Nothobranchius furzeri: one gene and its partners. The protein of the gene in region 1 purifies or fractionates together with the protein of each later gene. This does not show direct contact. Links are inferred from orthologs where the notes say so. Each region holds a gene or a part of one and is shown in the gene's direction. Other genes may lie near its edges.

Region 1 (5,344 bases):
TACGTCAAGCGGTAGCTTCACCCATCCTGGCTCTGGACGGGGAAGGCTGTTGTTGCTTTAGCATCTAGAATTAGCAGAGTGCATCTTGGCCTGCAGAAGCTAACTGTTAGTGTTAGCATTAGCAAATCAACCATATGGCAGAAGCTCCCCCAGGCTTGTGTTATTTGTGGAGATAAAACATCCATGTCTCAGAGCAAACAAAGTCAGAGGTAGAGTCACAGTTCTGTCATCCAATCTGAGGCCAGATGTCCAAATATTATGAAATATGAGCCCAAATCCTGCCATGTTGAGCTCTCCTCTAGGCAGACTTGCCCATGCTGATCCAGGCGTTTCTGGGCTTTCTTTGCCCAGAGTAAAGCTTGCAAGGCACTCATTCCTACCAGTTGCTTAAATGAGTTTCCCACGCCTTTAGGGTTTATGGAATTGTTGACTAAAATTGTCTTTTCTGCAATAACACACAGCACAAACTTGATTTATTATACAGCGTAAGAGAAATTATTATGTTGTTCATTTATTGTTAGTTAATGTGTGTTTTTATGAAACACAAGGACAGAATAAATCTCTCCTTTGAGAGGCAACCTAATCCTGGAGAGCAGCTGCACATTAGAGCCACTTTAATTATGCTAGTTTCACAAAAAGCTTTGGGCTCTGTGTGTGTGTGTGTGTGTGTGTGTGTGTGTGTGTGTGTGTGTGTGTGTGTGTGTGTGTGTGTGTGTGTGTGTGTGTGTGTGTGTGTGTGTGTGTGTGTGTGTGTGTGTGTGTGTGTGAGCATGCACTTGATGTTAAATGTGTTGGATTTATTCTGTGAGCCTGCTGAGATTTCTTACATAAGTCCCATAGAGGACTCAGAGTTAAACATGCAGTGAGGCATGGTGTTCCTGAATCATTTGCACAGTAAAATGGAGTCCAGGTCCTCCACAGACCTAGATGTTGTGCGTCCATGCAGGAGGAGAGATAGATCAAGATGACGCATCACCCCTGATGGATGGATCAGAAATAGCCTCTTGACAGTGTCAATGAGTCAGCCACAATGCAACAGAAACCAAACGATCCAGAGAGCGGATTCGTGCCAAAACCAGCAGAGAATGAATAAAAACCTACCCGCTCAGTGTGGAAACTTCTGGCATTGATCGAGCTGATGTTTTATCCTATGAACAACCATCTGGTCCATGAACGAACCGGTGCTGGCAACCTTGATTCGGTGACTCCCATTTCTGCTCTTTATAGCTACCAGCGAGCCGGTCCGGGAAACCGACCCGGAGAAGGGGAAGAAAGCGCCTCGAAAACGATCGCTCAATAATCGCAGTAAATAAAAACGTCATCCGGTGAGAAAACACACATTTTAACTTCAACGACTGCGCAGAGGCGTCTGTAAAACATGTGCCAGGATGTGCGAAATGGTGGCAACAGGATGAGCCGGCAGCGCGAAAAGCTCCATCATCTCATCTGTGCGTCTCATGGAGTCGGCAGGTGTGCAGCCTCTGAGCGGCGGAGGACGCTGTCATCATCAGTCCAGCCCCTGTAACCCTTCCTCGCTCAGGCTCATCTCATCTCTACAACAGAAGGGGGACGGTCTTCCTCCACCCACCTGCTGACCCCACAGCAACTGCAGTTTTTGCATTTAATCATAAATGTGTGACATTTAGCTTTAATTAAATAAACAGTTGCATTTGTTGTTTTGTGTGCGTTTATTGTTGCAAAACTATACAAGTTACGCCCTAAACCATGAAAAATCAAAAAGAGTATGTTCTATTTGCTTTCAGAAACAGGTGTTTACCTGTTGGGTCGTCACTGTTGACGAGTTGTTTATTAGCGTAGGATTCAATAGCTGCAGTTTGCCCGCCCGCCTCTAGGTGGCGGTGTATGTTGTCGCTGTGGACGGTGGTACGTCCTCTTTCTCCAAGATGTCGGTGTTCGGGCCAGTGGTGAAAATTCATCCCGTCGTTCTTGCTTCTATCTCTGACTCTTACGAGCGTCGGAATGAGGGGGCAAGTCGAGTGATCGGAACTCTCTTGGGTAAGCAGAAACCTGAAATATCTGTCCAGCCGGGGGAGGAGACTTAATTTTCCTAGCTAAAATGCTATAGCTAACTCCTCAGCTAATCTGCTAGCGCACGTTGGCTCGGTTCAGTGTTGAATCAAACCGCATCTGGTAACCGCTGGAGCTGAACGTAAATGCTGATTCACCAGGAAACCCAACGAGACACTCATTTCTATCTGGTGTGTTCTAGGTACTATTGACAAGCACTCTATTGAGGTGACCAACTGCTTCTCTGTCCCTCACAACGAGTCCGAAGATGAGGTGAGCTACAAAAAGCACGAATTCATTGTATTCTAGTCTTGATTGTCACAGGCTGCATTGGGACCCTGTATTTCTGCTGCTAGCTGGCAGTTTGCATCGATCACTGGGATTGTAACAGAAAAACGGAAGTGTGTTACAGGAGTTGAGCCAAATAATGGATTGTTGATACTACCACATTCATTGTTTATCGTTTACAGCTCATATTCGGTAAAATAACTTGACAGCCAAAATTAAAATGGTTAAAGATTTATATTTTTACTTGAAGCTGATTAAGTGGGCAAGTAGTAGCAGTGCATAATAATGTAATCCCACCATCTCCAACTGAACCTCTCTAAAACTGAACTACTTGTCATCCCAGCAAAACCATCCATACAGCACAATATCTCAATCCAAAATGACTTCCTATCTCTGGCTCCTTCAAAGGCAGTTCGAAATCTGGGTGTTGAGATTGATGAACACCTGACCTTTAAAGATCATGTTACCTCTGTTGCTCGTTCATGCCGCTTGGCGCTGTATAACATAAGAAAGATCAGACCATACCTAACACAACATGCCACCCAGCTCCTGGTGCAATCTACTGTCATCTCCCACCTCGATTACTGCAATGCCCTTCTAACTGGTCTTCCAGTCTGTACTGTGAGACCTCTTCAAATGGTCTAGAACGCAACGGCACATCTGGTCTTCAATCAGCCAAAAAGAGCACACTCGCCTACCAAGCACTACAAGAACGGGCTTCTTTTTCAACTTTCAAGAAACTCCTGAAGACCCTGCTCTTCAGAGAGCATCTTCTAAACTAGCACCTTCCCTGCACCCGTCCTCCTCTCTCCTGTCCACTCCGTGTTCCCTCCTCTCCGTGATTCATCATGCAGCCTCACTGCCACCTACGACTGACTGAAAATTGTTTGTTGTTGTTAGCCTCAAGGGCAACATGCCGATTATAACTTGTAAGTCGCTTTGGACAAAAGTGTCTGCTAAATACATAAACATAAACAAATTACCTAGTTTAAATGTTAGGTTTTAGTAGAAATTACTGTAATAACTAAGTGACACAAGGTGTTTTTCAAACTTCTGGAAATGCTGAAAGAATGATCTTTATCTGTATGAGTATTTGCATTATTCCCATGAAATGTCAAGTGTACATAAGTTTTTAGTTTTGAGAATAATCTTTATTTCAACTGTTTTAAGAACGGTGAAAAACACCTTATCTTCTCAATGAATGCATAAAAACATTAAAGTATTTTCTGTCAATTTACACACATTCAAGGTTGTGGGAAAAATTCTTCAGAATAAATGTTGCCCATTTTGGTATAAAGTGATATACAGCCATCTAGTAATAAATATGCATAAATGTTACTGCATATTTTATTGTTTTGATGTGGGCTAGTGTATCTGATATAAAAGTAACATTAGAATATATTTAGTTAACTGGTGGGATGTTTACATACGTAGGTGATCCAGATAAGGAGGTAATATCACCATGTGTGTAGATCAGTGGTCCGCAAATGGCGGCCCGCGGGCCACGTCCGGCCGGCGAGCCCTCTCTTTGTGGCCCCCAAACCCCCACCCGCGATGGCCGACCGGGAGGTGTAGCATAGATAGAGCTGAGGAAAATACTCATAATCAATGCATGAGATGCGGGCATAAACTATTTCTGCGTCATAGAAGAGTACCTTAATCAATTATAGTGGAATGTGGTTTTGTTATTTTAACGGCGGCACCAGCATCCAAATCTGTCAAAGTGGGTGTTCTCCACATTTACCGGGTAGGAAACTTTGGTCCGCCTTTATGTGGTACTGCAGGGCTGAGTGCTGGAGTTGTAACCTGAGACCGAACCGAATCAGCCCAATTGGTTCTGTTGGATTTGGGCCGTGAATTATGTTAATTGAGCGGGTTGTCGCACGGCGCACTCTGCTCGCTCAATCGGCGACTGAGATGAGGGGGTCGGAGGACACTCCTCCAAACACGCATTATTATTTTCATAATTTCATTATTATTTCTCTTCGAAGCGCTCAGTCAGTGTTGTGATGTCGAGAGATCTGGCCTTGGGGAGGGAGCGGGGTGAGTGACGGCGGCTGCAGCGTGATCATCTGTCTCTTTTATTTAGGGACACGGAGAAGTTAAAAGGAGAGAGAAATAGAAGATAGAAGTTATTGTTCCACTTTATTCTTTTGTTTAATGATGATAAACTGATGTTAAATTCAGCTTAAAGAGAAACTGGGAGGAGGCTTTGGTTCATTTTAAGTTACGGGAGATCTTGTATGATCTGCTCCTCCAGAGACGGCATGGACATGAGGGTTACATGGTGAGGGTCCCACAGGACAGGTTAGTGCAGTCACACAGCTGAGCTGGAGAGGGACAGGTGTTCTTAAAGTTAAAGTCCCATTAGTTGTCACACACACAGGTGTGTGTGCGAAATTTGTTCTCCGCATTTGACCCATCCCCTGGGGGAGCAGTGAACTGCAGACACAGCCGCGCTCGGGAACTATTTGGTGGTTCAACCCCCCAATCCAACCCCTTAATGCTGAGTGTCAAGCAGGGAGGCATTGGGTCCCATTTTTTCTAAGTCTTTGGTATGACCCGGCCAGGAATCAAACCCTGATCTCCCAGTCTCAGGGCGGACACTCTACCTCTAGGCCGCTGAGAAAGGTACTTCTTTATGTTGCAAGCTTGTGTGTTATGTGCATCACAGCCAGCGATCCAAACAGCAGCCCCCCCCCCCCCCCCCCCCCCCCCCAAAAATCCGGCCCTCTTGCTTCTGGGTCTTTTTTGTGAGTAGCCCTCGGACCGTTATAACTGAGGACCCCTGTACGGTGTAGATGATTATTGATGTTGCAGTATTGAAAATGTAATAACATGGTAATATTGACATGAGCAGTAGCAATAATGCAAAGGCTTCCAACAAATGACAAACTCAAGCTGCAAACAACTGTCCTAAATCCCTACATGTAGTGTTGATAGTGTCATAAGATAACGTGGGTGTATCACAACCGATATTGTCATTAAATAATAATATGACCTGTGCTGCCCTCATCATTATTTCCAC
Region 2 (5,256 bases), on another chromosome or scaffold:
AAAACAGAGAGGCTCCATCACAGGCAGCTTAACACCGTTTAGTAACTTTTAGTTTGAGAATAACTTTTTGCTTTCCTTGACATTGAATGTGCTACTACTAGTTTATCCGTTTAATTATAGATCCACTAGGACAAATACAATAAAGTTTATCTTTCACCAAATAGAATATTTACTAAGACATCACAATATAACTATAGACACACTACTTGGTGTGTGTGTGTGTGTGTGTGTGTGTGTGTGTGTGTGTGTGTGTGTGTGTGTGTGTGTGTGTGTGTGTGTGTGTGTGTGTGTGTGTGTGTGTGTGTGTGTGTGTGTGTGTGTGTGTGTGTGTGTGTGTGTGTGTGCCTGCTCTGTCTTCTCGATCCCCAGTGAGTCGTGGAGGATGGCTGCTTATACTGAGCCAGGATTCTCTGGAGGTTTCTTCCTGTTAAAAGGGAGTTTTCCTCTCCACTGTCGCTTTATGCTTGCTTAGTATGAGGATTGCTGTAAAGTCACTAACACTAGTCAGTGACTTGATGCAATTTGCTGGGTTCCTTATGTATGAAAAATTATTTCTGATTGGCTTAATGAACTGACCTGACCAGGTTTATTATGTGAAGTGCCTTGAGACGACTCTTGTCGTCATTTGGCGCTATATAAATAAACTTGAATTGAATTGAATAGTGATTACAGGAGTTACGAGACTTACCTGAAGAACTTTAAAGCCATTCTCAGTAGCTGAGATTAGGCCGGTGAGTTTCAGCGTGAAGGAGAGGATGCTGGCATCTGAGGCAGGGCTGTTGTTAACTACGGTCGGTATGAAATCAAGCAGACAGGGGAAGGCCTCCAGCAGAGAGACTCCTTCATCAGGTGACATTACAAAACAAAAAGGTGTCACTTAGACACTTAGCTGTGGAAAACTAGATCTGAAAACAACACATTCAGTTAGGTTTCAAGAGAATCTGTTTGGTAATACCTATTCTCCAGTTCCGTATCTACAGACTTTCACCAAATGCAATTTCAACTGACTTAGACATGTGTCCTTTGTACAAGGGAGAATGTTACTTTAGGTATTTTTAATGTCATTTATGACATTAATTATTGACATATAACATTAATTAGGACTATCTGAATATAATTTTAATAGAGAAACTCGCTATAATCTAATAGAAAAACAAATAGGAGTGCTTGCCAGTTATCTTCCAGCCTTATTTGCATCCATTAGGCTGTTTTAAATTAAACATCTCCATTTTACTTTATTTAAAATTAGTTCACAATAAATAAATAAATAAATAGCCAACCAATGAATAATCAGCAGTAGGAGAAAGTAATTTATACATTGAGTGACTACTGGAGCACAAGCCCTCCAGGTTGTTACTGACCATCCTTGGTGAGCGCTGTGAACCAGTCCAGGAGTTTCTCCAGACTGGTATCATCGGGCAGAGAGCTTCCTGAGGCTGCTAGCACCTCACACACCCGCGGCAGGACTGTCACACACTCTCGGTCCATGCTACTGACTAAACGTGTGTTAATAAACGTTACACTGACCTTCTGCTCAACGCTGCATTACTGTAAACGAGCACTGCTTAATGACACATTAAAATGTTTTTATTTTTCGCTCAAAATGAAAGTTAGATCGTTGAGCACATCTCGCGGGAAAAATTCATCACCGCCAGCGCGTCGCTCCACTGTTTTAGCGTGAAGTGAGTCGAACAAATATGGCTGCCTAATTCACTGATCTCTAAACAACTCGGTGAGCTACATCAATGTAAACCGCCGCGCGCTTCCGGTCCTTGTGCCTTACAACTCATTTCTCCGCGGCACGTCTACGCGCTCGCGAGCAGCTTCCGGTGCTGCGTTTCCGTCTCTTCGTCCATTTTCGCACATGCTGCCGCACCGGTCGCTCCTCGTTAGCCTCTCATTTTTTGGGATTTTCATCCCTCGTCGAGAGAATTACGACTTATTCTAACGCTAGATGCAAGACACGGCGGCCATGGTGGACGACCCTGAGTATGAAGAGGAGGAGCCCTCCTTCAGCGATCCGGAGGACTTCGACGATGACATCGAGGACGAGGGTTAGCGGTAGCAGGAAAAACGCCGGCTATCCGGCCTAGTGCTAACTAACCATTAGCTAAGAGACCGATAGCGGTTATGCTCCAAATGGTAGAAATATTACGCGGTGGTCCACCAGAACTTGATAAAAATGTTTAGTAGTCCATAATAGCTTCGTTAACCGAAATAGTGGTGCAACATTTTTTTGTCTCAGCCCCCCACCCTGATGCTATCTGCTACACGTTACGCCCGTTAGCCTCACCTAGACCCCAGACAGCTTACTCAGCGTGGCCTATTTGAAAACGTGCAGGGACGGACCTGAATGCATGAGAACAATCCTCCTGTAGCTGAATGGAGAGTGTGTGCGATTGCAAATGAGCAGCTTGACTTTACCTACACAGTCAAACGCAAAATTAAAGGTTTCTGCTCAGATAGGTGTGCCTAAAATTCATTAAGCGAATTTTGGTAGCAGTACAAAACCGCCCCCCGCCACAGTAGCTTTTATTTGGGTTTTAGACTTAAGATCGGCTTTATAATTAGTAAAAGATTTACTAGCAGTGATCGTTAATTTACTCCATTAAACACAAGTTTCACTTGTTTAATCAAAACTTTGACGCTATTTATTTAATTGTAATTAACTTGAGTTTGTAAAAGCAATGTGTCGTCAAAATATAAGAAGTTTCAGATGATGAGATGTTTAAATTCCAAAGTAAAATAAAATCTTGTGAAAGTTTCCCAAGAGCGATCTAGTTGCACCTAGTTTATAAGCCAGGTATTTGCTAATTACACAAAACGTGTAACTTAGTCTGGGCTTTTGCAGAAACACAACATGGGGGTATTGTAAAGTAAAAACATGTAAAAAAAAATAATAATAATAACAATGGAAAGGCAATTATTCGTTTTCTCAAGAATAATTAATTTTAAATGAATAAATTAAGCTTAATTGTTTTGAGGTAGTATTGACTGTATAAATTATATATATATATTTAATTTATCACATAAGTTAATCAAATACTCATCGATTCTTTGACAGTTTGCATCTGTAAAAATGCCAGTTTCATAGAACATACTTAACTAATCTTTCTTTGTCCGCAGAGCTCCTGGATGACATCCTGCGGGAAAAGCCCCAGGAAGCGGATGGGATAGACTCTGTGGTTGTGGTGGACAATGTTCCTCAGGTGGGCCCAGAACGTTTGGAAAAACTCAAAAACGTCATACATAAGATCTTCTCCAAGTTCGGCAAAATCACCACAGAGTTTTACCCAGAGGCTGATGGCATGACCAAGGGGTACGACCTAGCTGTCTCTTTCTTGCGTTGTTTATCCACGGCTCCACACTTAAATCCAAATACGTGTAACCTAACTTGTGTTTCTGCGCAGGTACATATTTTTGGAGTATGCCGCTCCCACTCAGGCCCTCGAGGCTGTGAAGAATGCAGATGGATACAAACTCGACAAACAGCACACGTTCAGGGTCAACCTCTTCACTGACTTTGATAAGTATGTTTGCAGAATAGGCCAATAGATTTGTTAAACTAACACAAGCCTGACTGAAGTTGTTCATTTCATCTTTTTTGAAACATTTAGGTACATGAACATTTGTGACGAGTGGGAAGCTCCAGAGAAACAGCCTTTCAAAGATTTTGTGAGTTCCACTCTTTATTTTCTTGTGAGGTCCTTATGCTCCATCCTCAGTTTGCTCTTGTTCTCTGTTCAGGGGAATATGCGTCACTGGATCGAGGATCCTGACTGTCGTGATCAGTATAGTGTGATCTACGAAGCTGGAGAGAGGACGGCCATTTTCTCAAATGACGCTAAAGAGCCAATAATAAATGAGGAGAGAGCGGTAAGGTGGTAATTATTAACAGCAATCAGGTTAATGTGATGTGAGGAAAACCTAACGATTTTGTGTTTGGATACAGCGCTGGACAGAGACGTACGTCCGCTGGTCTCCTAAAGGCACTTACTTGGCTACTTTCCATCAGCGGGGTATTGCATTGTGGGGCGGCGAAAAGTTCAAACAGATCCAGAGGTTCAGCCATCAGGGTGTGTCGCTCATCGACTTCTCACCGTGTGAGAGGTAATCCGCACAAAGCCTGCCAAGTCTGATCTCAGTTGATCATATTTGTAATGAGAATTTTTTTTTTCCACCAAACTTTTTTTTTCCTTTCTGTGGGACACTTTGCAGCTTCTTCATATTTTTAAATAATTTTCCTGAGCCAGTGTGTGCTGAAATAACCCTTTACAGGTTTAATGAAAGGCCACCCAGACCCTATCGCCAGAACATTCCTTCTGTTGGGACTTAAAAAAGTTGAGCTGACATAACTGGCGCTGCAGTCTGGTTCCGGACCTTTTCCCTTATGTTTTAGATCGTGAACACTAGGGCTGGGCGATACATCAATATTTTTTAAATATCTGTATAATTATTAAACAAGATATAAGATGACTTAATATTTTTGTATCGATTTAACTGGTCAAACGGCTATGCTAGCGATTAGCCGCTATGCTAGGGACATGTCGCTCTGTCTCTAAGCAGCTATTCTCACAAGATTGCTCAATCTGAGAGCCTCTGGGTAAATGTGCTGTTCTAAACTTTGCATTTGGCGTCCTGGTTTTTAATTATTTGGGGACGTTCAACGCCAACGGAGTTCTGTTTATCCATCCTGCTCGTGCGGAGACGAGCCAAACACCTCCCTCCCCTGTGTAATCGGGAAACATCTACATGTAGCCAGAGTGGCCAAATCACCTCAAACATATTGTAAGGGTAGAATAGTAAACTATAGGGTTAATGTTTTATTTTGAAGGCGAGCTCAGCGGGTGAGAAATTTTGTTCTGATTTTTTTCCGCTCTGGTTAGCTATGCTAGTAAATACTCCATTACGAGCGATTCAGTTGAAAAAGTTCAGAGTTTGTAAGGTGTGGGTTACAGCGACAATAGCATGCAAATCCTCCCCATAAAAGAGCAACCAGAGACTGAGTCACTACAGTATAATCGCTGATATGAGTCAATACTGTTAGATTGCAGCCATGTTTGCCCTCATAACTAATAACTCCACTGTGCGTGACCCAGTAGATGCAATTACATCATCATACATCTAGTTTAACATGATAGATTTTTTTTCTCTGGGCAATAAATATACGATATGGGCCACCTCTAGATGACTAATTGTACATTAATTATAAATATATATAAATAAAAAGTGCCTGTGGGACATTTGATACACCTC
Region 3 (5,489 bases), on another chromosome or scaffold:
AAGACAAATCAGCTTTTTTGTTGCTGTTTTTGCTGTTGCATGAGTATACGACTGATGGTGCCAAATAAATTAATGCAAAACCTTTTAGAAGATTTAGATTTGATGTGCATCTATTAGCGTTTGGCCAGCAGGAGGCAGCATAAATCAGCCAAGAGCCTTGCTGTCTTGACAGATTCTGAGACATGCGTGCATTTTTAGTCTGAACACAACTAAACCTTTCAGGTTCACTTTCAAATGATCTCAAGTCACTGATAAAAGATGCAAAATCTGTTTTTTCTGATCCTTAGTAATTCACTATGTCTTGTATGTCTGTATGTCTTGTTGTGGCAGAATTTTCAGTTTTTCAGATTCAGAGTGTTGCCTTAAACCCCAAAACAATCGTAGGGAGGATGAGAGGATGTGCAGCATCTGGACTCCTCCTTCTATGATCCATGCTGAAATGCTCAAAAACCTCCCTGAATAACAGGTGTCAGCCGCAGATGCTGCTTTAATATGGATTACTGATCCCCTCTCACCATCAGGTGTTGACTTTGAACTCTGTGATGATGACTGACAAATCTTCAGCTTTCACCTAGTCCATCTGCTGGGTTTTGGTCCTGCTAATTTAGCAGGTATTTATAGATATTTCAGTTTTGGTTAAATGGGGGGAAATACCTTTCATTGTCATTTTAATATTTTAAACATTTTCTGAGCAATTTTGTGATTTCCATCACAGACAAATGGGATGCAGCCCCATCAGAAAACTTTTTTATATATTAAGATATTAGAAAACACAACAGCATAAATAATGCTGAACTTTTTTTTTTAATTTCACAATAAAACCCACAGCCCAAAATGAGTCCTTGCTGTTACCTCATTCATAACAGCTGGAATTAATATTGCATATATTCTCAGAAAATGATTTAATTCTGTTTAATTTGCAATGTAATTTATCGTATTTTGCTTGTTAAATGATGATTATACTTCACTCTAATAGGTCAGTTTAAATAAGGTATGGAGGACATTAATGTTGCATTATTTCTTATATCAGGTAAGGTTTTGAGACTACATGGGCGAAGTTTTATTGGGGGGGCCAAAGAGGACATGTCTCCCTCACTTTTTCCAAAGCAAGTTTTTGTCCCCTGCACGTTTTACCGTCCAATAAACAATATTACACCATATTAAATAGACACTAGTTGAGCTCTAAGTCCGAGCGGAAAACAGCCGCTTGTGTTGAAGCCCCTTCCCATTAGAACTGTCCACAAGCACATCTATTGGCTCTACTGATACTTGCTAACGAGTGATTGGCCGTTCCTGCCACCTGTGTACTTGACAGTTCTGCATCTCTGCATAAAGGAGCCTCTAGGTTGTAGTTTTTTATATATATTTTTTGCATACTTACTGTAAAGACCCCACCAGAACTCATGCCAGTTGTGCCCCCCCCCCCCCCCCCCACACACACACTTCTAAAGTCAAAACTACGTCCATGGACTGCAATATGACTACAATCATACATTTATTTTTTGAATAAAATCCCCAAAGTGAACATTATGATAACGTTTTTACTTATTGCTGTAAAACTGTTATTTCTGGGCTTGTGATTAAACACTTAGCAACACTTTGGTAAAACTCTCTGATCGTTTTTATAAAAGTGAAACACATCGTGGCTGGTGGCAGAAACACCAGGAAGCATCAGCAGATGTGGGTATTTTATTTATTTATTGTAATAACTTTATTGAACATATTTAGATACAACTTCATTTCAAAACATGTGAGAAAATAACATGTTATAAAGGAGCTCAAAAGTCCATGTTCTGGCAATCCTGGGTTTATCAATTCAGAAATGAAAAACAATGAAGTATGAACAGAAAATGAAAGAATAGGAGATATCAGTAAGATAACATGAAGGGCAAATAATATGTGTATATACAAACTGGGAGTTTGTCAAGAGGATAGCTAGTAATAAAGCAAGGCATTCTGCCATATTATTAAATTATCTACAAGAGGGTTAAAAATTTGTTTGCAGATGTGGGTCAGGTCAGGAAGTAAACAAGGGTGGAGGCGCGCGCAGGCACGTGAACGGCCATTGCGCGCTCCCGATCATAAAACCTCTGACGCCTTCATCCGGGAACCTCAACGAACTCGTTCTCCAACATGGCGGCGTCAGGTGAGGTTTATGTAGAGTGATCGATCTGAGTCGATTATTGGGAATTTCTCTCGTTTATGGTTTCGGACAGCTTAGAATAATAAATGTGAGGAATACCGGTTCGCCCCCTTTCGAGTCTGTGTCGTTGTCTCGCGCCTGTTCGTCATTTATTGATTGTTTTTGCCCGCTAAAACGGCGAAGCTGGTGGTGGAAGGCGGAATGAACGAAGCAACGAGCGTTTTTAAGCTAACCTAATCAAACTAACTTGCTTATGGAACTAACGTTATGTCGGTGTGTGGTGCGTCTGCTTCCCTGCTTATTTTGGTAAAAGGTGTACGAGGTGCTGGTCGACCTGCGGCTCAATGTTCCCAACTGCGTGAATGGCTGCTGGCACATTTTAAGTCAGCGGTGGAGCTACGCCGTGGCGCTCAGGGCAAACAGGCATCGGGCGCAAGCGCGATTTGTGGAGGAGGGGTTGGGCCGAGAGGGATCCGGAGCCGCCTGAAGAGTCCCCACGTGTGCGGAGATGCTCTCCGGTGTCTGCGTTTGATTAAGCGGGGCAGCTGGGCCTGTGGGGTCGCATCCTAAACTCTTCGCTGTCAGCTTCCCAACTTTGAGCTGGCTTTTCCGGCCGGCTAAGTATTGCAGCGTTGATGGCGCACTTGGATCCTGACGCTGCGACGTGCGCTAGGCCCTAAACGTAGCCAGCTAAAGAGCAGAGACTTCCCCCGTCAGCAGTCCTCCGCTGACTAAGCCAGCAAAGACATTGAGACAAAAGCGATCATCAAGCCTGCTAACTGCGAGCCCTCAGGCTTCAAACGCAGCCTTAAAGAGTCCGGAGAAGTGCTCTTGCTTTTTATGTTTCGCAGATCTCGATGAATGTGGAAAAAATAACATAACGGAAAAGCATTCGTGTTTACTCTTTAGTGAAAATTTTAAAATATACTGAAAAGTGTTTTCTCAGACTAACAAGATATCATTAAAATGGACATTATGACATTTTTAAGGCTGAGAAACCTCACAGGCATACAGGTTACTACACCTCTACAGGGTTCATTGACAGGCGTTGATCATGTGACCGACCAGGTTGACTCCTGTGATATTTTAAGGCAATAAACTCATTAGGAACAGAGGTGTCAACTATATTTTAGAAGTCTGTCTAGATGTATTATTTGAAAAAACCAAAATCGGCTAGAAATAGAAAACATGTCTGAAAACGTTTACGTTTCAGAAACTAGTCAACATAACCACAGTTTTCCCATATGAATACAGATGCACTATTTGGGTGTTTTTTAGATCTGATATTTGACTCGTGCTCTTCTGACCTGCTACTGAACAATGGTTAACATAATGCAATTTATCTTTTCTGATTAAGTTTGAAAATTATGATCCTGGTCCACATGTCTGTTATTGCTAGCTTGAACTAGTACTTAGCAGTGGTGAGTTAACAAACCAGGAGTGTAGTATGTTTTTTTTTTTAATTTATTTAATCTTTTTTTTTGCTGTGCTAGGGAATTATGTTAATAGACACACACTTTCCACAAAAAATTAAATAAAAACGTATCTGAGTTAATAAGTAGGTAATTTCTGATTTAACTTCCAATGCTCGATATAGGGAGCCCAAGTCTGCCGTAGTCCCTGGATCACACATGTTGTACTGCAATTTAAATAAAAAGTAATGATGGGTGTTATGACTACACCAGTCACATACTTTGAGATTTATTAGCTTGTAAACGTTTGTAATTAGCATGACTATAAACGAGAAATCGGCACGTCGCATATGTGAATCTCCTCTCCCCAAAGTAGCTGCTACTTACCAAATGACCAGATTTGTGGTTGTTCTTTCCTCCTGTGGGAAGTTTGCTGTATTAATGCTCTTTTCCCTCAGTTTTCTCCATGTCTGGTTTGATGTCACTTTCGTGAAGCGCATTTATAGTCCTGGACTTATTTTCACACAAAATCTAAAACAGTGTTTCCCCCTGTTCGAAAATAAGCGTGTCATTGTTATCAAAATGTGTCTTTAAAATTCACAGACATCATATGTGAAATCCATGGCACAAAACAAGCGGAATTAGAAAATAGTCTTTTAGCTTCATTGACTTGCATTCATTTTTTCGTTCTTCCGGGGACCCATGGTCCGGAAGTAGATGGGTGTGATTTAGGCTCCTTGTAGGATAACTGATCCAAAACAAATTTAAGTGCATTTTGATATTTTAGCTTTTACAGAAAGGGAAAATTAGTCCTAATCCAGCTCCGTAGAATCAGATTAGTGCAGATCAAAGAGCAGGCTGCATGGTGGGTTATTACAAGAGTACCAGCCGTTAAAGTGGGCATATGCTTTTTTTATCATCACTTTTTTGCAAATATTTTAGAGTGTGAAACTTACCTTCACTGTTACCATGTGTGATTATTAGGGCTGCACGATATTAGGAAAACCTGCGATATTCGATAATAATGATTAATATTGCGATGACGATATTACTTACGATAAATAAAAACTTAACTCAGGAACAAAATTAATCAAAAACAAAGAAATAAAAAATTTATAAAAATGAGAAAAGCTAAAGATGTGAAGGAAGGGAAAAAGGGAATGAACAAGAAAAGGCAATCAGTGGCTCCCGGGAAAAGCAGAATCAGCGAAAAGAACAGACCAAAGCTAACTCAGGTGTATGCTAACCATCAAAATGAAGTGCCGCCCGCCTCGGGGGCGGGCATCTGACCTATGAGAACCCACCCAATTGGCCAAATGGGTGAAGAGCTCTATTTGATTTGTTAAAAAACATAATGCTTTCATTTGATTGACAGAATGCATTATGTGTAGCAAACATTTGAGCTGAACATTCAATGCAATATTTATCTGTTCTTTGCTATATGCATATTGTGTATGCTGATATCACGATAACGATATATTTACGATATATTGTACAGCCCTAGTGATAATGTAATTTCATGTATGAGTAGTTCACTGACAGTTGGGATTAAAACAAATCTAACCTGTTTCCAGAGCAGAGTGAAGCCCCCTGGGCAGCTGTTGCTGGCTGCACACAATCTGGAATGTTTCGTTGTGGGAAAGAAACGTCACCGCCTTGTGAATGTAGACAAATGATTTCCTTCCAGTTGGTTATGATTATTAATTCTTTATTTTATTGCTTAATTAATTTCTTTATCTAGTCGTAAAGACATGAGCTCCTGCTGTCTTTAAACCAAGTGAGAGGTTTCAGAAATTTGGAATATATTATTATTTATTTAGGCTCTTTAAGAAGTTTGACTATTTTAAAAAGGCCTCACAGCTTTCTTCTAACTGGCAGCCCAGTGACCGTTGGATATAAGTGTGTGCTTTTATCACTCATGCGCTTTAGCCTCT
Region 4 (5,176 bases), on another chromosome or scaffold:
AAAATTAACCTCGAAACTGACCAAATTCAGTATTGAGTAGAAATACATCAGTCTGTGCGTAATGAATGAATCTAATATACAAGTTTCCCTTTTTGAATGGAATTACTGAAATAAATCAACTTTGTCATGATATTCTAATTCTACCAGCACCTGTATGTATTGGTGTGTGTGTGTGAGAAAATCATTGGGCAGAGGATATATTGTGATCTTTACAGTTTTAATATATGTGTCGATGTATATATTTTAGTATATATGTCGATGTAGAAAACTCAGGCCAGCATTATTGCAATGTCTGATGGAAACTGCTGCCACTTAGTGGTCGGAGGTTGAATTGCAACAGGCAAAAGTAATTTATTAAATGTGTGTAAATTCGCAATAAAAAATTATACACTGCTTAAAACGATCGATTCTGTATCATAACACGAAATATTGTGACACTTAAGTGTATCAATGTATCCTTACATCCCTAATTTGTTTTATATTGCAAAGAAAATGAATGAATCAAGAACATTCAAATAAAAAAAATCTTGCAAATTCATTTGGGAAAAGATAAAAATAAGATTTCATTTGGTCGTATTTTAGACTTGAAAACTAGTTACATCAAATGTATCATGTAAAAATTATTTTCCAGCTCATGATCTAACCAGTTCGGCTGATGAACAGTAAAGTTGATTGTTTTTTATTGGCCACAACAAATATGAATAAAAACAAATTTAAAGCAGGAGACTTAGTTAAAATATCACATTATTGTCTCTGGAATCCCATATTTGTAGAAATTAGATTTATTAGATAATCCACCTTGCCAATATAAATTTAATGTAACATAACATATTATTTGTTTTGACATAGCTAAAATGTTAAACTCTAGAACTCCAAATATAATGAAGATACTAGTAATGGCAAGTAAAATAATTCAAATGTATGTTTAATTGCAGATATACGATAAAGTCAACATTTTGTTTTATCTATTTAGCATAGTTTATTTTTACTATTCAGCTTCTACACATTCAAACTATAACATTTATTTTACTTTACTTTTTTCTGATGGTCGTACACGATCCAGCTCTCCACACTTCCAAAATTATTTTAAAATTGTTTGATGGTTTAATTCATACATTCGTTGACATACTGGAAAATTCTGTGCCCATCTTGTCTCCTCAAATATTGATTTGGCGTTTAGTCTTCTTGAAATCATCTTTTAATAGTAAATTCGTTTATGATAACATTGTCTACTTTGAAACAAACACGTAGCTATTTTGAACGTTTTTCAGCTGATATGCAGGAAAAACAGCCGGTGAGACAATATAAAGTTAAATAACGTCGTATGCACATCACTGGGCATAGTGAGTAATGTCTCAGTCTGTCCCTCACAGAAAACAGACACAACTGGTTCTCAAAAACTCAGAAACTCCCAAAAAGTCTTGATGGTAGATTTTAAACCATGAAACAAAAATGGTGAAAAAACCAAATAATTATAGAATAATGAAACTTTTGAATAATGTTACGAGATTCCCGTATTTTAAATAATTTTAGGAATATTAATTGTATAAAAACATTTTCATTGTGACATTTATTGCAGTCTTTATGAAGAAAATATTTAAATGTCCCGTAACTTAAAAGTAAGTGCAAACAGACTGAAGAGCACTAGTCAGGTGCGGTGATTCATTTCGTGTATTAATTTTATTTTCTGGTCCCCCCCCCCCCCCCCCCCCCCCCCCCACACACACACACACACACACACACACATTTCTGGCTGATGGAGGAGCTCCGTCTCGGTTAACTTCCGGGTGATGTTTACCGCAGAACTGCTGGATGTGCCTCCACCACCACCGCCACCCATCAGTCAGAGTCAATCAATCAGACACATTATCAATCACCTCGGACCTGCTGGGCTTACATCACCGCGCGGACATCAAAGTTAACCCGCGAGCCAACGACCATTGATGACGTTTTCTGCGCTCCAGCTTCCGACGACGAGGTTAGCCGGCTAACTTTAGCCTCCGAAATGACGACGCTGATAATTATTGCGGTTAATTCGTGTTTCGTATGCAAGAAGATGTGAATTCAGACGGTAAATGTCTTTGTGATTCCACATTTTTGAGGCAGAGTTTGTATTTTAAAGTTGTATAAACTAAACAGGTAATCGTTACTCGTTAGCTTAGTTAGCATCAGTTGAATTTCTAACAGAGGATGTTACCTAATCTTCCTGACAGTTACAACTGGTCCATCTAGTTAGCTTGTGGAGTAGCCCGTTGTTCACATCCTTCATAGCCGTTTGAGGGAATTAAATGTGTATTTGAGAGGAGAAGCTCTTCAGAACCAGAACATAGCGGTGATGGAGCATGAACGGGCCTAGAGGAGAGGAATCTGTAGACAGCAAATATATCAGACTTCCAGAGCTACACGTTACTTTAGAGAAGTATACACCGATTTAAGAAAGGTGTGAATAAGCTCAAACGACTGCTAAGACATACATGGTGACGGGAAGTTTTAATATGTCGGAAAAAATTATGATAGACTTAAAACGGCTACGAAAGAAACGTTGAATTATAGGAAACGGATCAGGTAAAGATCAACATCACAAAACAAGTGAAACACGATCTGATCAAATAAAACATCTTTTATATATTTTATTGTACATAGTAGTTGAAAAAAATGTGGATTTTTGAGCCCATATCTACACAACCAAAGTCTTTAGGGATTTTCAGAGAACAGGGCAAGGCAGTTTTATTTATTTGGTACATTTCACACACAGAGGCGGTTCAATGTGCTTGCCAACTAACAAGAATAACAAGAACATTAAAATCAATACGACATCACAATTATAATACACACAAATTCAATTTAGATTTAAAAATGAAAGAAGAAAGCAGTTACAGTGCAGAATGTGCAGTGTTATATAAACAGCCATTCAAAGGCTGATGAAAACATGAAAGTTTTCCATTTTCATTTAAAAGTTACATGAGTTGAGTTGGGGCACATTTGAGGTCATAAGCAAGCTGATTTATTCTGTGTGCAGCATTGTAGCTAAAAGCAGCGTCACCCTGTTTGGTTCTGACCCAGGGTTTTACCAGCTGCCTGTTTACTAAGGATCTCAGAGCCCTGCTGGGTTTATGTACCTGAAGGAGGTCCGACATGCATTCTGACCCCATGCCATTGAGTGATTTTTAAACTAATAGAATCACTTTGAAATTGATTCTGTAGTTTACTGGTAACCAGTGAAGAGATTAAGGAACAGGAGTGATGTGTTTCGCTTCTCTTGGTTCTTGTTAAGGCTCTAGCAGCAGCATTCTGAATAAGCTGCAGTTGATTCACAGCTTTCACAGATCATTTTAAATGTAAAATTGTTAAATTTTAGAAATATTTTTCTAAAAATTTCTTGAGAATTGATCTGCAATAATTTGTTCTAAAGGCAAATGAAAAGTCCAAAGTTGTAACTTATTTTGTCTAATTGTTTAATGATTATTTATTTTTACTAACTTTGCACATTTGCATGCAGCTGCACACTTGATACTTTTGTTGTTTTTAGACCATTTTTATACCAGTTATATGCAGATAACAGCCAAGTCGGTAATAAAAAAATAACTTCCAGGTTTTTCTGCTCTTTTCTTTTTTTCCCAACAGCTGGCGGTTCTTCATCCCATCCTGTCTAACATCCGTCTCAGGGGCTTCACTCAGTCAATAATTGTAGCTTTGTCGGTCTGCACAGCCACCCCTGTGGACCAGGTCAGTGCTTTTCACCAGAGAGCACAAGCAGCCAATGCCAATGGTAAACACAACACAGGGATCTTAGAGCCTCAAACTCAGTACAGCCGCTGCGCTGCCTTCCAGTATCGCGACAACAAGTATTCTGAGGAAGGGGGAGTTTCCCGACACGGAGCGTCGAAGCTCGCGATGCCCGGATCCTCGCCGGCCAGCAGCAAGGCTCGGGTGTACACCGATGTCAACACACAGAAGAACAGAGAGTATTGGGACTATGACGCACACATGCCAAACTGGAGGTACAGAATATCTTACTACAGTTACCATCAGCATAATCAAACAGCTTTTTATTCACACTTAAAATATTTTTCTCTTTTCAGCAACCAAGACAACTACCAGCTGGTGCGCAAACTGGGCAGAGGGAAGTACAGTGAAGTATTTGAGGCCATAAATGTAACAAACAATGAGAAAGTTGTGGTGAAAATCCTCAAGGTGAGATGTCTTGACTTCCCAGCAGTCCATCCTGTAACAAATGTCATGTATGTAGGTTTATTTGTCTTACACAATTGTCTGAGTAATCCATTTTCATGTTCTGAGGTCACGGACAAAGTGCTTAGACTTTATTTTTCCTTGTATGTAGCTTTTTTGAGTGGATCTTTGTACCTCCTTTCATCCTCAGCCCGTCAAGAAGAAGAAGATCAAACGGGAAATAAAAATTCTTGAAAACCTGCGAGGTGGAACCAACATCATCCGCCTGATTGACAACGTCAAAGACCCAGTGGTGAGTCTGAAACACGCTGTGGCTGTTTTGCATGTCGGCGTGTCAGCCGCGTTAATCCGGTCATGCTAATGATCCGCACGTACCTGCTACTGTTGTCAGTGAAGCCGTGTGTTGTCCTCTCTTTGCAGTCCAGAACACCAGCACTTGTCTTTGAGTACATCAATAACACAGATTTTAAGGTACTTGAGTTTGGCTGACACCGAACTACCATTCATGCATCTATTTCCATTAATAATCAGCTGCATAACCTTACAGTCTTAAAGTAGAAACCTCTGACACCATATCGCAGCAGTTCCTTCTAAATGTTTCATGTACGAATCTTTCATTTGGTCCGCAGGAGCTCTACCAGAAACTGACCGACTGCGATATCCGTTACTACATGTACGAGCTCCTTAAGGTGAGAGTTTTCTAAGCCTTTGTCACGGTGAAATAGATGAGACAGCAGAAAAAGTAGTAGAGCGTTGTTGTGAGGGATGTTTCAGGGCTCTAGAGTGCAAACATTCTAGTCACAAATGGAGAAGGAAAAGTCTCAGATGCTGAAAGTCTCTGTGACACACACACACACACAAACGCACGCACGCACACACTCTGGCTTACGATTGTGGGCTAGGCTAAGCTAGTCAGGAAAGCAGTCTGGAAGTTCGTGGGTGGGGGTTTGATTCAGCAACTTTATTTTCTAGCTAAGACCTGAGC

Evidence for each region. The genes of interacting proteins can lie anywhere in the genome.
Region 2: the proteins of eif3f (region 1) and eif3ba purify together in Homo sapiens (affinity purification with mass spectrometry; 14 studies listed by BioGRID and IntAct, counting the BioPlex papers as one, with this or other methods). This does not show direct contact. The link is inferred for Nothobranchius furzeri from reciprocal best matches to the Homo sapiens genes EIF3F and EIF3B.
Region 3: the proteins of eif3f (region 1) and eukaryotic translation initiation factor 4B purify together in Homo sapiens (affinity purification with mass spectrometry; 3 studies listed by BioGRID). This does not show direct contact. The link is inferred for Nothobranchius furzeri from reciprocal best matches to the Homo sapiens genes EIF3F and EIF4B.
Region 4: the proteins of eif3f (region 1) and casein kinase II subunit alpha' purify together in Homo sapiens (affinity purification with mass spectrometry; 3 studies listed by BioGRID and IntAct, with this or other methods). This does not show direct contact. The link is inferred for Nothobranchius furzeri from reciprocal best matches to the Homo sapiens genes EIF3F and CSNK2A2.

What each region holds. Positions count from the first base shown.
Region 1 is NC_091751.1:40,239,396-40,244,739, forward strand, and holds the start of eif3f (eukaryotic translation initiation factor 3 subunit F), read left to right. Parts: upstream 1-1,858; 5' UTR 1,859-1,904; coding exon 1,905-2,016; intron 2,017-2,230; coding exon 2,231-2,301; intron 2,302-5,344. UniProt on the Homo sapiens protein: Component of the eukaryotic translation initiation factor 3 (eIF-3) complex, which is required for several steps in the initiation of protein synthesis.
Region 2 is NC_091744.1:16,239,034-16,244,289, reverse strand, and holds the start of eif3ba (eukaryotic translation initiation factor 3 subunit B), read left to right. Parts: upstream 1-1,825; 5' UTR 1,826-1,954; coding exon 1,955-2,054; intron 2,055-3,126; coding exon 3,127-3,319; intron 3,320-3,410; coding exon 3,411-3,530; intron 3,531-3,617; coding exon 3,618-3,675; intron 3,676-3,747; coding exon 3,748-3,876; intron 3,877-3,952; coding exon 3,953-4,110; intron 4,111-5,256. Other genes in the region: brat1 (BRCA1-associated ATM activator 1), read right to left, coding at 689-840, 1,362-1,488.
Region 3 is NC_091743.1:53,295,858-53,301,346, reverse strand, and holds the start of eukaryotic translation initiation factor 4B, read left to right. Parts: upstream 1-2,058; 5' UTR 2,059-2,133; coding exon 2,134-2,146; intron 2,147-5,489. UniProt on the Homo sapiens protein: Required for the binding of mRNA to ribosomes. Functions in close association with EIF4-F and EIF4-A. Binds near the 5'-terminal cap of mRNA in presence of EIF-4F and ATP.
Region 4 is NC_091749.1:31,587,762-31,592,937, reverse strand, and holds the start of casein kinase II subunit alpha', read left to right. Parts: upstream 1-1,745; 5' UTR 1,746-2,071; intron 2,072-3,624; 5' UTR 3,625-3,726; exon of another isoform or gene 3,727-3,831; 5' UTR 3,832-3,894; coding exon 3,895-4,001; intron 4,002-4,082; coding exon 4,083-4,194; intron 4,195-4,381; coding exon 4,382-4,483; intron 4,484-4,611; coding exon 4,612-4,662; intron 4,663-4,820; coding exon 4,821-4,880; intron 4,881-5,176.